Linked DNA regions of Drosophila melanogaster. The protein of the gene in region 2 purifies or fractionates together with the protein of the main gene of each other region. This does not show direct contact. Each region holds a gene or a part of one and is shown on either strand. Other genes may lie near its edges.

Region 1 (5,590 bases), on a different chromosome or scaffold from region 2:
CCAATGGGTGTCAACTGGAATGCGCCGATGGGCATGCACCAGAACCCGGGACAGCCCGTGGGTGATTCGCAATTGCAGCATCCAATGGCTCACAACAAGGGTAAGTAATTGAAATGATTACATTTTTTGGTACCGAGAAAACTGTTTAATCAAATTATTTGGATTCGCAACAGTTTACAACAACAGTGATTGGACTTCAATGGATCCGGCTATACTTTCGTTTAGACAGTATTCTTCTTTTCCACAAAACCAAATTCCCCCACATCCTCAGCAGCAACAGGATTTATTTTTGCAGCATTTGGCTCAACAGCAAAATTCCCAGAGTGGTGGTAAGTGGGGCAACCAAGAGTTTACATATCAACAGTCGATTAAAATGCATCGGATTGTGTACTTGCAGGTTTCAACAACCAGGCACAGCAAATGCTTCCTATGGGGATGCCCAATAGTTTGCTGAACGGACAACAAACGCAGCCGCCACAGGTCAATGCCAATGTTCAGGGCATGCTTGAGTTTTTAAAAAGCCGTCAATTCGTTTAGCTACAATACATATAAATAATACATTTGTTTACCTGTACTCTTTATTAAATATTTCTTAAAGTAAATATAGGCAAAATAAAATTCGAATATAATGAAACTACATGATACAAACAAACAGACGGTCCAGTGAAATTCAGCCTACTAAAAGCATTTGTGCAGCAAGCGAAACACTTGGATGCCGTCTCCCCGCGCCGGACGTGTCCGCATGAATCCAATTATAGTATCCAATAAACCCCGTTCAGGGTGTAGTCTGCTTGGCAATAGTGAAGCCCCCAGTGATTTTTCAAACTTGAAACCAACTCATTCCAATTGCTCGCTGGATAAAAGACAGATTACCATGGCAATAAGTAGCAAAGAAAACCTCGTGATGTGAAATTATCGAGACTGTGTAAAAATGTCAACTTTTTAATAATAAATACGTGACTTGAAATGGTTGAAAAGAATTTATTACTACGATCCGAAGAACTATTTCCTATTTTTGGCGGCGTGGGGCAGACGGTTCCCTTGGCCAGCAGCGCCACCCAGGCGCATCGCGTTGTTAGCAGCACCTCCGTATCCCTGGCCGGGACGATTGCCGACATTGTTGCGGTTGCCGCCACCAGGACGTCCGCCGCGCTGATTTTGCGACGAGTTGCCGCCGCGGTTTTTGTTCATCTCTGTGCGATTCCTTGACTTGGCCTGCGCGTCCTCCTTGACCATGTCGATTACTTCGTCGGGGATTCGCAGATATTTGATGGTGCTCCCGCGGATATAACATTCGGGCATGCGCCAAAACCGATCGCCATCCTGCAAAGTACACATACACATATTGGTATAAACAAGCTCTTCATGTTATCATTTTTCCGGCTGTTTACAAATCAATGCGATTGTATTTATGTATATACCAGTTGTCGCATATTTTGCACACCGGCAATCTACATATTAATTACATATACATACATATTTAATTAAAATATTACCTTTGAGGTGCAAATAACATCGCGCAGATTAATATTCATCCACGAGTCGCAACTAACCAGGTGACCATTGTATGTTTCACCATTTTTCAGCTCCACCAACTAAGTGAATTAGATTAAACAATTATGTGTATGACTAATGTGTGCAAATCCAAACATCTTACCATGGGATGGCTCTGTGCTGTTTTTAAAAGTGAAAGTGGCAGCTAAAACACATGAAAATTAATCATTTTTCTCTTTATTTACCATAAAATAATATTGCTTACCATTTTCGTGAAGTAATCGATTAATACAGCGATAACATGAAATCGGAAGAGATGTCAATCACTTTGTTGGAACGAAATGAATATGAAACACATGCTTATAAAGATAGCGTGTTCTGTTTTTTTTTGATTTCTTATAACATAATTTTAAATGGTAACCAAGAGAGAATGCTATAGTAGACTTCCCCGACTGTCAGATACCCGTTACTCAGCTAGTGTAAATTTCATCCTTTTTCTGGGATAATAATAGGGAGAAAAGATTTTAAAATTGTTTTGAAAGTGTGGGCGTGACCGCCTTGGCGGCTTTAAGGCGCTAGATTGAGTATGGCAAAAAGGACAGTCGGCGGGACAGTCGGATTAAATACTTCACCAAATGGATAAAAAAAACATGTAACTTATTTTAAAGCCAACCGGCTTTGCAATGACTGCAATTCATTTAGTAAGAGAGCAATATTATAGCGCACTTGTTGAAACATGGACAGTGGCAATTCTAAAGTTCGATATTCCTTATTTTGGAGCTTGAAGTGGAGGACTATTGTAGGTTTATCAATTTGCACGGTACTAGAAAATAAATTAGTAAAGTGAAGTAAAAATAAAATAGCGGTAAGGTTAAATACTTACTTTAATGATAAGGAAATGTTGATTCTCCATTGCAACTTTGACATTTTGACACGGTCCATTTTAGTATCTGAAAAGTTCTTGCTCAGTACGTCTCGATGGTTAAGCAAAACTTTGCAGATATCTTCAACATATTCTTCTGTTAAACTATTGACGAGATAAATAACAATTATGTTAGTGACGGTCAAGTTTTCCAAGTACGTATGCATTTGAATACTTACTTTAAATCGTCCATTAAACATTTTCGCAGCTCATGATGCTTCACCACGCCCTTGGGATATCTTAAAAAGATTTGCATTGTCAAGAAAACCATTGTAAAAAGTTCACAAAAGTTCGGAGGGATTTCGTGACCTCCATTTGTTAGTTTATTTAGTGCCAGGGAAAGCACTTCCGACGAAGACTTCTTTGATTCAATGTAGTGCACAGACACTTGAATAAGGACACGCAACATAGACTTAGTCAATTGCGGAGTGAATGAAGTGTATGGCTTTACACTCCTTAATAGATTATATCTAAACGTAGACGACATATTGCATACTCATAAATTTTGTACAAAAACATAAACAAACTAGAAATGCTACGTCTTCGATATGAGTTATTTTGATATTCGATGCTCACAATCGATATTAATCGTACTGTTTTTTTGTTTTTAATTAACAGAAATGGATTATTTGCATAAATTAAATTAAAAAGAAAAAAACTCTAGCTATGATTTTTGATATTAGCCTTAATAAAATAAGAAACTAAACATGTTATTTTGGCGTTTTAAAATTTACTGCAATTAGGTTACCCGTTTTGGTAAAGATTTTCAATAATTCGGTTGTTTATTAAAGAAATATTTACATATGTTATTACCCACTTGAATTTTGTTTAAATTACTACTAACTGGTTTAGTTTTGCCATAAGTGTTGGGAGAAGTTTACTTTCTCATTAAAAATTTATGATCCAATTTTACCTGTCAATCAAAGCTACACTTTAAATCAATTAAATTATTTCTGATTAGAGGGTATAGAAGCTGCATAGTAAATTATGAACCAATTGAAATTAGAATGGGTAATTAGCACCTGCAATTCATGCTGTCAATCAAACAGAAGACCTTACTATAAAATGGCACAACATTCCCAGCAGGATAAACAATAGTAAAATGAATCTCTTAATCAGTATGTTTATTTTAATACTAGCTGCAGGCGAGGGTGAAATAATTCCGAGTATGGAAGAATCCGTTGTAACTAATTTCGTTAAAAGTCTAGTAAAAACCAAGCAAGCAATAGTGTTTTCGTGTTTATTTAAAGGTAAGCAATGTGCTAAGTTACAATAAAGGTATTCATAATATATTTATTGATAGATTTTAAAGAAATCTCTCTTGCATTGATGCGAATTAATCAATTTGTGAGCGTAGTTAACCTTAACCAAAGTTATTCACTAACATCGATATTGACTCGGGAAAATTACGCTCGAACTTCTGTGATGGTAAATGCCAGATGCAGTGGATCATCTGAACTTCTTTTTGAAGCCTCTGAAAATAGGTATTTCAACAAAACCTATCAGTGGTTTCTCTGGGGTGTTGATCTCGAGGTTCAATCCCTATTTCCTTTAAATCTCAACTATGTTGGTCCCAACGCCCAGATAACCTATGTTAATGAAACCGCAGATGGTTATGCGTACTGGGATATTCATTCGAAAGGACGACACTTGAAGTCGAATTTGGAAATAAATTTAATAGCAACATTGATAAACGATACATTGAATATAGCTCGCGATATTTTCCATTTGCAAAGTATTGATTTTCGCGGACAATTTAATGGATTAACTCTAAGAGGAGCAAGTGTTGTAAGTAATGAATAAGTACTATAACTCATTAGATTTTAGCCATTTCAATTATGGATACTAGATCGACAAGGAGGATATAATCTCAAATGAACAAATTGAATCAATACTTTCGCGACCAACTAAGGATGCTGGAGTGGCTGCATTCATAAAGTATCACTACGAGCTTCTGGGACTTCTGAGAGAACGTTTCAATTTCACTGTTAACTTCCGAAATTCTAGAGGATGGGCTGGACGTTTGGGCAATACTACCTTTCGACTTGGACTCTTGGGAATAGTTATGCGAAATGAGGCAGATATAGCCGCATCCGGTGCCTTCAATCGAATTAATCGCTTTGCTGAGTTTGATACCATACACCAAAGTTGGAAATTTGAGACAGCTTTTCTATACCGCTACACTTCCGATTTGGATACTCATGGAAAAAGTGGTAACTTTCTGTCGCCATTCAGCGACAGAGTTTGGTTGTTCTGTCTATTAACCCTTGGTGCTTTTAGCATCATTTGGGTGCTATTTGAAATTATCGACTACAAGATATTGCGTATACGAGTTAATAGTCAAAAGCTGGAACATTTAAATCAGAAAAGTTCGGTGATTTGCATTAAGACCACATGCATTGAACGAATTTTACAGACATTTGGAGCCTGCTGCCAACAGGGATTGGACCCAAATCCTGTAGATCGTTCAGTGCGCTTTTTGGTAATGACACTGTTCCTATTCTCCCTGGTTATGTACAACTATTATACGTCTTCCGTCGTGGGCGGATTGCTTAGTTCTTCAGATCAGGGTCCCTCTACAGTCGACGAAATAACTGCAAGCCCCTTGAAAATATCATTCGAAGACATTGGTTACTACAAAGTCTTATTCCGAGTAAGTTCGTTGAAAACATTATATGTATATTTATATTACCATTACTCGATTTACTTAACAGGAGAGTCAAAATCGATCTATTACAAGATTAATAGAGAAAAAGCTGTCTTCGTCAAGAAGTTTAAATGAATTGCCAATTTTTAGCCATATTGAGGATGCTGTCCCATATCTCAAAGCCGGCGGATTTGCTTTTCATTGCGAAGTGGTGGACGCTTATCCGGTGATTTCAGAATATTTTGATGCCAACGAGATCTGTGATCTGCGTGAAGTCTCCGGTCTGATGGAGGTCGAAATTTTGAATTGGATTTTACACAAGAACAGCCAGTATACCGAGATTTTCAAAACAGCGTAAGTATTGAGTCATTCGCATGGTTTTGGTTTGATTCTGTCTTTGCTTAACTGGCCAAAAAGAACTGTTTTTTTTTAACCCGGTCTTATTCCACATCAGTATATTTCCCAAACATTCCTTGGGAAGTAAGATAGTTTTATAATTATTTTATAATAGTTATATAATTGTAATA
Region 2 (7,217 bases):
GCATTGAGCGAGGCATGGATGCCCGCTTTGGAAATGGTAACACGACCCTGTTCCATCACCTCGTGAATGGCTGTGCGATCGATGTCGCTCATCTTGTCAAACTCATCAATGCAGACGACACCGCGATCGGCCAGGACCATGGCGCCCGCCTCCAATCGCCGCTCACCGGTCTCCTGATCCGTGGTAACCGCCGCCGTCAGACCGACGCCGCTGGATCCGCGACCCGTTGTCGGTATGGCCCTTGGTGCCGTATTCAAGACGTAGCGCAGTAGCTGCGACTTGGCCACCGAAGGATCGCCGATAAGCAAGACATTAATATCGCCACGCAGGCGTGTGCCATTCGGCAGGATCTTCTCAACGCCGCCGAGCAGCAGGCAAAGAATGGCCTGCTTCACATAGGCATGTCCATGAATCGAGGGCGCCAAACTCTTGCTGAGCAGCTCGAAGATGTCGTTATTCTTCGCTAGCTTCTTGCACAGCATGATGTCTTCGCGCGATATGTCCAAATTGCTCTCCTTGCTGAGCAGCGATATATTGTTGGCCAGCAGCACGGTGCGGAACGTGCCCGAGGTGTAGCCACCGCGTTTGCCCGGCAAACAGCGATAGCTGCCCACAATCTGTACACGATCGCCGGGCTTGCAGCGATCCACGAGATCGTCGTCGCACACAATATCCACCGAACGCGGCAATTGGCCAGCCGGCGCCTTCTCGGGCATCTCTTGAATGGTCAGCGTCTGGTGATCCTTGTAAACGGACAAACCGTATTCGGTCTCCAGCAGATTGCCATCCTCGTCCTTTGTGGGATAGGCAGCGCCAGATGGCACAGCCTCGAACGATGTGAGATCGGTGTATTTGCGCTCCATTACCTTACGCGTATTGGGGCAATAGTGAACGCTGCGCACCACCTTGGGACGAATCAGCGATACCTTGGTAACAATGCCCTCCACGCACACCATGTTGCCCAGATAGATGGAGGTGAGGGAGCGCGGCGTCACATGCCGATTGCCAAAGCAGCCCTCGAAGCCGACAAACAGATCCTCATGCATTTTGGCATAGCCCGGATCAACCGTGGACGCATACTCCTTGAGCGCCCTGCCAAAGGCCAGCTGCTCATCCGCCGCGTTGCTCAGTAGCCCCAATGCACGTTGCGGATTCTTGCGTTTTAGATCGTTGACATTCACGATCAGGCGCTTGCTCTTCTCCGCGATCATATCCTTGACGTGGCCCGCATAGATGCCCTGATCCTCCTCGTCGTCCAGAAAGTCCACATACTCGCGTTGTATGTCCTTGATGAACTGCTCCCCCTCGTGGGCCATTCTGTGACTTAAGCTGTACACTGGAGTTCACAAAACTTCTTTCGATTTCGCTTATGGATCAACTTCGATCCGTTCGGAGGCAAACGCAAATGCAAACAAAACTAATGTCGCAAATTGCACGCCGAATGCAAAGTTTTTTCGCGGGAAAAGCGTAGTGTGACCATACTGTGGGCATTTGAAGACTGGTTGCGCGGGCAAAATATATATGCTATAATTATTTCCTTTTTTTATATATTTACATATAATTATTAACTTTATTATATAAAACATAGTGGACATAGCAAACTAACTAATATAAGCAAATATACGTTGATATGCAAATTTATAATTAAAACGTTTCCACCGAACATCTGACTTAATTTGTAATGCATACAATATAGAAAACTATCAAATAATTCCTATAATAGTAGTATATATTTATTATCTGCCTAATTAATATCTACATTTAATCCATTGCTATAATAGTAAAATATATTTATTATTTGCTAAATTACTGTCCACACTTAATACATTCCTATAATATATACAATATATGTATTATGTGCCTAATTACTGTTTAAACTTAATCCATTCTTATAATAGTATTATATATTTATTATTTGCTTAATTATTATATAATATATAATATTATTACACTTAAACCATTCTTATAATAGTATAATATTTGTATTTATTATTTGCCTAATTATTATTATATTATTATTACTATATCCTATAATATATACAATATATGTATTATATGACTTATTACTGTTTACACCTAATCAATTCCTATTATAGTATTATAGTATATAGTAATATATTTATTATTTGCTTAATTACTGTCCACACTTAATCCATTCATATAATGGTATAATATTTTTATTATTTGCCTGAGTACTGTCTACACTTAATCCATTTATGATGTGGCTGCGTATTAAATAGTTTATTATTATTAAATAGTTTGTGTAAAAGAAACAGAAATTGTTTACATTTTATGATACATATATATATAGCACTTAAGTAAAATAAATTCCATTTTTATTTATTTCTATAAAATATATATATGTTTAAAATAAATTATATTTCTTGGTAGGATTTAGTTTATCATTTGACTTTGCTATACATTTCTGACCGCCCAAAGAAACCAGTTAATATTGACCACATATTACCGAAATTAGTCTTCAAATTGCTCATCACGAGTCTTCACTGCACTGCTGGTAACACAGCCATTGTCTGGACTGCCGCAACTATCGAGTGCGCACAGCTATCGATATTACGCACTGGTCACACTGTTATAACGAAAAAAAAATTCGCATATTATTCACACTTTACCGGTGTTTCTTGACAGAAAATGATAAGTTTTCGTTAACCGAATTCTCAGAAAGTAAGTGCTTGGAAAGTTTTTCCAAGAAAAAGTGCCCAATAGGGAAACCAAACCTGAAACCAAATAATTTTCCACGATAAGCGCAACAACGCGATATTAGATTGGCCAGCCCTGCGTTTGCGGTTTTTTTTTTGTTTTTTTATTTCCTGTATTTTTTTTGGGGGGGAAAAATTGCAGTTCCACGGAAAGCGAAAAGTTTTCCACCAAAATAAACGGTTGAAGCATGGACGCCGACAAGCAGGTGAGTGTCAGATTATAGCTCCAATAGGCGCCGCCCTTATGCGTATGCCCAATATATTGCAGCTGGAAAGGCAGCTGGAGAAGGAGCTGGACGAGATGCCGGCAGAGGATTTGGACGACGATGCGTATGACGAGTATGATCTGATCGTGATACCCGATCAGGGCAAGGGCTCGCCGCAGCAGGGGCACAGTGAGTCGCCGCAGCAGGAGGAGGAGCACAAGTCGGAGGAGCTGCGCCAACGATCGCGCCCAACCTGGCCACCGTCGTCCGCCGGCGGGGATATGACCACCATTGAGTTGATCTCATCGGACGACGAGCCGTCAGTGGAGGAGACTGAGGGAGGCAATGCCGCTGGCCGTGGCAGAGCGCGCAATGATTCCAGCAGCAGTAGCGATGATGTGGGCGTGATCGAAGGCTCGGAATTGGAATCGAACAGTGAGGTGTCCAGTGACAGTGACAGTGATAGCGACAACGCTGGCGGCGGAAATCAGCTAGAGCGCTCGTATCAGGAGCTGAATGCGTTGCCCAGCAAAAAGTTTGCCCAAATGGTCTCGCTCATTGGAATCGCATTGTGAGTTTGCCTGCTTCTCCCACTCCCATTTTCCATTTTTTCAATATCGGCATTAGCTAATGTTGATGCTCGTTAATGCAGCAAACTGAATGATCTGGAAAAGATCGAGTCATCGGTGCTGGAGCTGCAAAATTTGGCCACTGTGCCGGCTCACGTGTGGCTGAAGTATCTAAAGGCCCGCCTGGTCGTCACCCAAACGGACGAGGAGCGCAAGGCATTCGAGGAGCAGTGTGCCAAAGCGTTGGGCTACTACTACAGTATGCGATAGATAGAATCCATTCGTAGTTAAACCAATTGACGAGTTACATATTGCAGGCATACCGCTGTCCGAATACGTTGTCAACTACCTGGTGGATCAGGGCAACGTACAGAACCATGTGCTGTGGGCCAAACTGCTGGCGGACTACGACGTGGAGCGTCCAGACTTTGGCGACAAGCTGCGTTCGCTGATATCGACAATTACGGACGAAAATGAGGCTGCCGCCTTTGTGGAAATGCTGCAAAAGCACTGCGTCACCTGGACGTGCAACGTGGAGCAGCGGCAGATGATCAAGTCCGTTGTGGACAAGTTTAAGCAACATCTGGACGAGACAACGCGTGGTTGGGATTGGTCTGAGCAACACAAGGCTCATGTCTACGATGTGGAGACATTATCCCTTGACGATGACCTCAAAAACGCTGTGATCCGTTTCATATTCGAACGCTCGGTGGCCAAGTTTCCCATTGTCGATGTGCTCTGGTTATCCTACATTGAGTTCATTCAGTTCGAAGGCGTCACTGTGCCGGAGAATGAGGATGAGAATGAGGTAACCGCCGAAATGGTAGCCAAACGGGCCAAACGCTTGGGCAAAGGTTTTCTGCGCAACACGGAACTCGATTTGGCCAATCGTGGTGTGCGCAGTCATCCCAGTGTACAATTGAATCATCGTTTCCTCGACCTAATGGAGCGCTCGGACTTTGAGTTGGCGGAAGTGGATGAAGAGATACGTCTCATATTGCAGCGCATTGTGACCGACATGGATATGACCGTGGAGCTGCATCTGGACTATCTGGCCTATCGTATTCGCAACACCAATGCCAGCGATGAGCAGCAGGTCGCCAGTCTGCGTGCCGCCTTCAATCATGCTTGGGAGGAGCTAACCGTGCTCTACGGCGACCAGGCGGACACCAGGTACGAGGTGCTGCAGTTGTGGGCCCAAGTTGAGTACACGCAACTGGGGAGTCCGGACAATGGCCGTGAGATTTGGCGCCAAATAATGGGTGAGCGCTTTGAAATATGATTGCATAAGCAATGTTTTAACTACTCATCTTTAGGCTATCCGGGCAGCTCGATACGCGGCCTGCTCTGGCTGAACTTTGCCCAGATGGAAAGCGAATACAATGGTGGCCACGGCACACGCGATGTCCTTCGCAAAGCTCTCTCGCAGCCCGTCCTCGAGAATGGCCTTATGGTGCAGGAGTTTTTTCGCCGCTATGAACGTTGCTATGGCACCTACGAGTCCATTGCCGCCTGCCAGGCCCTCGATCTGCCTGTCGAGTATGTGAAGCCGCGTTCCCGCATTAAGCCCAACTCACAGTCGGCTTATCCTCGCCAGCAGAAGCTTAAGCCGCGCCAGCAGCAGCAACAAACGAATCGTGAGCCACTGAATCGCGAGCAGCGACGTCGCCAGGCGCATGAGCAACAACAGCAACAGCAGCAGCAGCAGAAGCATGGCATTAAGAAGTCCAGAACCGAGCCATCTGGTGGAGCTACGTCACCGCCATCGAAAGTCAAGGGGCCAGCGAATGCAGAGGCCAAGGAATCGAACTTTAAGTATTCGCGTGAGTCGCCATGCCGTTTGGACACATGCGTTTCAAGGACTTACATTAGTTGTCTCTCTTCTAGCCAACATGGAAATCAATAAGATCTTTGTAAGAAATCTGCATCCCGCTTGCAGCAAGGAGGAGCTGCACGAACTCTTCTCGCCTTTCGGCACCATCAAAGATGTGCGCCTGGTGCACAAGCTGTGAGTGCGAGATTACAATTACAATTATTGATTTTAAACTATTTGATCCTCTACAGAAACAAGCAGTTCAAGGGCATTGCATACGTTGAGTTCGAGAAGCCGGGCGAGGCGCAACGAGCAGTGGCTGGACGAGATGGTTGTCTATTCAAGGGCATGAATGTAAGCGAATGATGTGTGCCTTCATGTTTAACCGAACCAACCAAAGCAAATGCATTTCACAACTCTTTCAGATCTCTGTGGCCATTTCAAACCCACCGCCGAGGGGCACATCAGCTGTCAAGCCAAGTGTGGCGCCCAAGCGACGTGTGCCCACCTCGCTTATACCCACGACTCTGGTGCGCCAAGAGGTGGCTGCCAAGAAGCTGCGCTTGCTTCTGCCCGAGCCGGGGGACATATCATCCACTTCGGCATCCGTCGACGTGGCCATCAAGCGCGAGGCTAATGGAGAGGAGCAAAAAGGAGATGTTCAAGAACGAGATGAGCAAAAAGGAGAGGAGCAAAAAGGAGAGGAGCAAAAAGGAGAGGAGCCAAAAGGAGAGGAGCAAAAAGGAGATGATCAAATAGGAGAGGAGCAAAGTGGAGTGGAGCAAAAGGGAGATGAGAAAAAAGAAGAGGAGATGCCAGCTGCTGTGCCCAAGTCAAACGATGACTTTCGCAAGCTATTTCTCAAGGATTAGGCGACAAATGCCGGCGGCTGAGCCCGGTGCCAGCGGCCATGGTTTAGTTTGTAAGACGAAGACGAAGATTTGGAGCATATATTTTTTTAGATTTAAGGCAACCTAAACAGACAAGGTTGGAGAACACTGTACAAAGAGAAAAACTGTTGTAAGACAATGATTTTTGTTTCGACTCATATAAATTGGTTTCTTGATGAACCAAGTGAAGAAAAATGTTTGTTTGTTTCGCATATGACAGCTAGTTGACTAATCCCCGGTGAGTCTTTGGATGAAATGGGTGTTTCAAGTGTACAAACATCGAGTTGATTAAAATGTAATGATCTTGGCGGATTTATTGGATAAAAACTAGGTGCGGAACTTGACGCTCTTCGTGACGCCGGCCTTGATGCCGGACAATTCGCCGCCGTAGCGCTGCAGCTCCTTGCGCACCGTGCGCACGGCTCCCTTGCGCCGGATGAGCGCCTTTCGGTATTTGCCGCGATGCTTAACGCGCGGATTGCGCAGCTCCTTTTTGCGGTGCGGCGTGAGGCCCTTGTTCTTGGCCATCTGATAGGTGATGCCGCGTCGCGCATCCTCCTCTTCCTCCTCCTCACCAGCCTCCTCTTGCAGATCCTTCTCCTTACTCTCAGCATCGTCATCGTCATCATTATCATCATCATCGGAGCTCACTGACGCCTGCTGGCCATCGTTGTACTTGTTGAGTATCTGCAGCTTAGCCTTGCGCTGTGCCACATCCAGCACGGTGAATGCATCGCCATCTTCAATCCTCTCCAGCAGCGCCTCCAGCTGCGGTCGAATGTATTCCTCGTAGCGCGGCTTAAGCTCCTCGATCAGATCCTTGAGTTGCACCAGCCGCCTAATCACCGGATGGGCCTTGACGTCGATGCGACGTGCCTTGAGCAGCAGATAGAAAGCCACATTGGAGCAGTAGGTGGTGAGCACGGTGTGGCAGAGTCCGGCATATTGCAGCGCCGGCACCATGGGCACATCGTGTTTGCGAACGTAGTTGAGCACCGGTTTCAATAGGTTCTTCACCTCGT
Region 3 (4,036 bases), on a different chromosome or scaffold from region 2:
GTTTTTCCACTCTTTTCCACGCTCTTCGAAAGTTGGTATGTCTCTTTTTTGGAATCCCAAACCGAAATAAAGAGCCTACGTGCGTCGGCTCAGGTGGCTTTTAAAAGCCAGAGTTTTTGTTTATAAACACATAGTTCCGGCAGGCTTAATTTATGCAAATTTGGCGCTAAGGCTTTGTTTACTCAGGACTTTCACTTTCCCCATGAGTTGCAAAATCTTCAGACTCATTAGATTAAGTAAAGAAGTGAAAACTATCGATTGATGATGTTGTTCTTACTGAAATTGAGAATCTTTGAATCTTGAAATGGTAATATTTAATATTAACTATGCCTATTGATAACTTACCTTCTACATTTGACTAAGTATAGTATCTTGTATCTTCTTATAATCGGAAATTTATTAGTTTAAGTTTGTCATCTTTCAATTTGCAAATTCTTGGTTATAGCACTTCTTTAACTTGCATTTCAAATATCATAAGAGATAGCTAATTAAGTCTTAGCCCAACTTTTTAAGCCAAGCTTGGAAGCTCCCGCTCTCTTCCAAGCTTTTTTCGCGCTCTTTGTGGAGCGCGGCTTTTGGTAGCTCGCCTGGCAATGCAATTCAGTTGCCAAACAAAACGCGATCGGCTAACAACCTCGTACCGCTCGCTCGCAGCTTTAGCTTTACCGTTACACCAGTGATTGAGCACTACAATATCCGAAAAAACCATGGCTAAATTGAGTGCCCTGCTGCTGCCCGTAAGTTTCAGATAGTTAAATTTGGTTTCTAGAGTGTACCTGCCAAATTAACACCTTGTGGGGGGAGCCCACAAGTCCACTGACACAATTTCCGCCTTTTCTGCGCGAAAGTCGCACCCAAAAAGAAAACCGTCTGCATTGCTCGGAAATAGTGACTTGAATTTCCAATGAGCCCGCGTCAGTTCTTCTTTCAAAATCCATTTGTTTTTAGTTTTTTCGTTTCTCCTTTTTGGCGGCCAGACAATTGACACATTTTCGAATCATATGTGGGCCAAATTCGAAGGCTCTCTCTGGCCATGGGAATGGGGAGACCTTGAATGACACGATCTGGCTCTCTTCCGCGCTCTCTTTTGGCCAAATTGAACGCCAAGCGAAATGTGTCATAATCTCCGGGCAACGAGTTGTGGCCAAGTTGCGCATCGTGGCTTTTATTGTTGGTGTAATTGCATAACCGGCGTCAACAAACCGTTGCTTTCAAGTTGACTCAAAAGCCTGAAAGCGATTTCTTGGCCGTCGTCGCACTCGCATTTATTACCACTTTCGTGCAGCTGACACAGTGAGCCATTGAGCATAAATGTGATATCTAACTTCCCCCTAAATCTAGTTTAGCCAATTCAATTAGCTTTCACATAGATGTGGTTTTTTGTTAGAAAACGAATTAAAATCGTACTTTTACTTACAGCACGACCCTGCTTTTAATTGCTGCAATCGTAATAAAATTAGATTGGATATCTAAAATTTTTAAATCATTTGGTTAATAATAATAATTTACTTCTTAACTTCAAATAAATTTACTCAAATAAATTACGATAAGTTTGAATCCTAACATTATGAGAACTATTTCTAATATTAATTTCACGCCAATAGATGGAGCTTAGAAAAATGACAAAAATTGAATTTTTAACTTTACCCAATTGACTTTTTAACAAACCAATATTTAATGTTTATTAACCACTTTCTTTACTTTCCAGCTAATTTTGTTTATTGTGGCCTTTGTGGCGCACACAACTTTTGCTACAGTGCAGCCAAAAGCACCGAACTTCCAGTACTTCGAAAGGTATGCAATTGTCAATTTAAACTATATTAAATTGAATTTATATAACAATATATTTCAGGCCCAAGTACCGTTATCCCTACTACGATGAACACGGGCGCGGAAAACTTCTCTACGGCTACGGCGGACCGGAATTGTACCAATACAAGACCTACACGCCCTTGGAGGGCATTCACTAGTCCTAAATATCGATTAGATGCAATGTAGTCCGTAATTTATGTATTCTATTATTTAAATTAAACTTTCTTTATTACCCCAAAAAGTGTTTTTGAATTCCTCTCAACTTGAACAATAGATGGCGCTCTTGGTGAAGCGAATGCAATGGTCACATCGAAATGTTGTGTTGCAACCTTACCAAACCTGCAGTGTGACCGCAGCATTGCCGGCATAAAATAACAACTGTATTCACATTTGTTATTTATTATTGCTGCCAAAAGGTTTTGTAAACTGCATTTATTTTGAAATCATCTATTGAAAATGTCCCGCAAAGAGGCCCTGTCGCAGTTCATCAATCAGATACACGGACGCCCCGTCGCCGTAAAGCTGAACAACGGCGTTGACTATCGAGGTGCGTTCAATGAGTTCCCAAACACACTCATCACATTTGACAATTTTCCCAATCCACTGACCAAATTCCAGGTGTGCTGGCCTGTCTGGATGGCTACATGAACATCTGCCTGGAGCAGACGGAGGAGTACGTGAATGGGCAGCTGAAGAACAAGTACGGCGACGCCTTCATCCGCGGCAACAATGTCCTCTACATTTCCACGCAGAAGCGGAGGGTCTGAATACAGGAGGGTCTCAACTGGCATGGCACCATGAAGTTCGTAGTTAGAGAACTCTGATTCCTCTGTTTCCTTCAGAGGGAACCTGCGACAACACAAGTGTTTCATACTTCAATATTAAAGCTGAACCAACTTCTCATCATCCTGTATACAAACCAATTCCAGTAGTTCTTGATATACCCCCGATACATTAGACCTCGTTGCTTCGTTTCTTAAGTTTATTCCATAAATACACTATCTAGAGGCGCTAAATTGCAATCCCCACTCAACTGGGATAGTGCGGTGTGCCATACTCGCGGGGAATGGCGCCAAAGTGGCGCAGTTGTGGCACCGAATACCCCGATCCCAGGGCAGCGATTAGGCGCTCTCCGCGATAGCCAAACTTTCGCTCGTAGACCGGACGCCAGGAGCGACCGAAATGCGGATCGAAGGGGATCTCGCTGGGCTGCTGGAACGGAGAGTTGCCGAAGAACAGGCGGTCCAGATAGTCCAGCACCGCCTTCTTCTTCTGAAAATGCACCAGCAGTGGATTGGCGGTGGCGGCGGTGCGCGGATCCTGCGATGCCAGGTTCTTGAAGTACTGGAAGTTCACCAGATCCACATTGGAGAAGTCAAAGACCCCGGGCAGATCGTGCAGCGTGGCTTGGACTCGCACCGAGGAGCACTGTGTTCAGCCAAGGGCAATGTTAATGGGCTGATTATGGTGGCTGGATGGTTGCTTTAATTGACCACTTACCATTACGGCCAGTGCAGCAATTAATACGTATTTGCACATTGCAATTGACACCAAGATCACCAAGCAGACGACGACACCTATACGCTACCCCACGCGGAATCCAACTGATTTGAATAAATTCGGCCAACTGCAGGCCCATCGATGGCGCTGCCTCCCATGTCCGACTGCCCAGCGATTTGCAATCGGTCCCAGGTCTTGTACTATGTTGCAATATCCCATTGCCGCCGATTCGCATTGCCCAATTCCGCCCGACGCGGTGTCCACCAGAGCCCAGCCAAATGTAACACTCGCCACTAATTGGTATGCATGTCGCATCCAGAGGCGTTCCAATCAAAGCGCTCGTCACCACAGCGGATCAATTCACATGACCACCGCTACTTCATTACTCCATGGCGACCATTGGATTGATTACAATCGCTGGATCTTAATGAGGCTGCTTTGTTTAAGGCGAACCAAGATCGGTGCATCCAGCTGCATGTGGAGCATCTGTTTCCATAATTTATGTATGCAAATCGAAACTCGTAAGGTGATTAGCTGATAAATTAGTGAAACATTTAGTGCAACAAGCACTGCTCTTAATCTATTAAAGTTTATTCAACAAAAATCTGTATGAATGAAGAAATCGAGAAGTTAATAATTAAATTGAATTTATTATATTATATATGAAACATATTTCTCTATAAAAGGAAATTTGACGCGGTAGTTATGCACTGACATTTTAACA

What was found.
Region 1: the proteins of Rnp4F (region 2) and CG17768 purify together in Drosophila melanogaster (affinity purification with mass spectrometry, with the first as the bait; one large-scale study listed by BioGRID). This does not show direct contact.
Region 3: the proteins of Rnp4F (region 2) and CG9344 purify together in Drosophila melanogaster (affinity purification with mass spectrometry, with the first as the bait; one large-scale study listed by BioGRID). This does not show direct contact.

The regions. Positions count from the first base shown.
Region 1 is NT_033779.5:10,402,234-10,407,823, forward strand, and holds CG17768 (uncharacterized protein), read right to left. Parts: upstream 2,971-5,590; 5' UTR 2,904-2,970; coding exon of another isoform or gene 2,596-2,903; intron 2,522-2,595; coding exon of another isoform or gene 2,378-2,521; intron 2,318-2,377; coding exon of another isoform or gene 2,152-2,317; 5' UTR 1,763-2,151; coding exon 1,760-1,762; intron 1,700-1,759; coding exon 1,658-1,699; intron 1,596-1,657; coding exon 1,497-1,595; intron 1,324-1,496; coding exon 1,003-1,323; 3' UTR 964-1,002; downstream 1-963. Other genes in the region: Cnot4 (CCR4-NOT transcription complex subunit 4), read left to right, coding at 1-100, 174-329, 398-537; LSm-4 (uncharacterized protein), read right to left, coding at 2,152-2,317, 2,378-2,521, 2,596-2,903; Ir31a (ionotropic receptor 31a), read left to right, coding at 3,519-3,666, 3,720-4,204, 4,266-5,069, 5,131-5,417.
Region 2 is NC_004354.4:5,318,096-5,325,312, reverse strand, and holds Rnp4F (RNA-binding protein 4F), read left to right. Parts: upstream 1-2,616; 5' UTR 2,617-2,682; exon of another isoform or gene 2,683-2,763; 5' UTR 2,764-2,905; coding exon 2,906-2,923; intron 2,924-2,985; coding exon 2,986-3,494; intron 3,495-3,575; coding exon 3,576-3,751; intron 3,752-3,809; coding exon 3,810-4,754; intron 4,755-4,808; coding exon 4,809-5,315; intron 5,316-5,379; coding exon 5,380-5,500; intron 5,501-5,556; coding exon 5,557-5,659; intron 5,660-5,730; coding exon 5,731-6,177; 3' UTR 6,178-6,385; downstream 6,386-7,217. Other genes in the region: Mcm3 (minichromosome maintenance 3), read right to left, coding at 1-1,316; Sas10 (something about silencing 10), read right to left, coding at 6,523-7,217. UniProt on the Drosophila melanogaster protein: May be involved in gene regulation during development. Binds RNA.
Region 3 is NT_033778.4:20,974,887-20,978,922, forward strand, and holds CG9344 (uncharacterized protein), read left to right. Parts: upstream 1-2,169; 5' UTR 2,170-2,268; coding exon 2,269-2,359; intron 2,360-2,430; coding exon 2,431-2,579; 3' UTR 2,580-2,714; downstream 2,715-4,036. Other genes in the region: CG34115 (uncharacterized protein), read left to right, coding at 708-737, 1,709-1,794, 1,853-1,970; CG15650 (uncharacterized protein), read right to left, coding at 2,842-3,240, 3,313-3,351.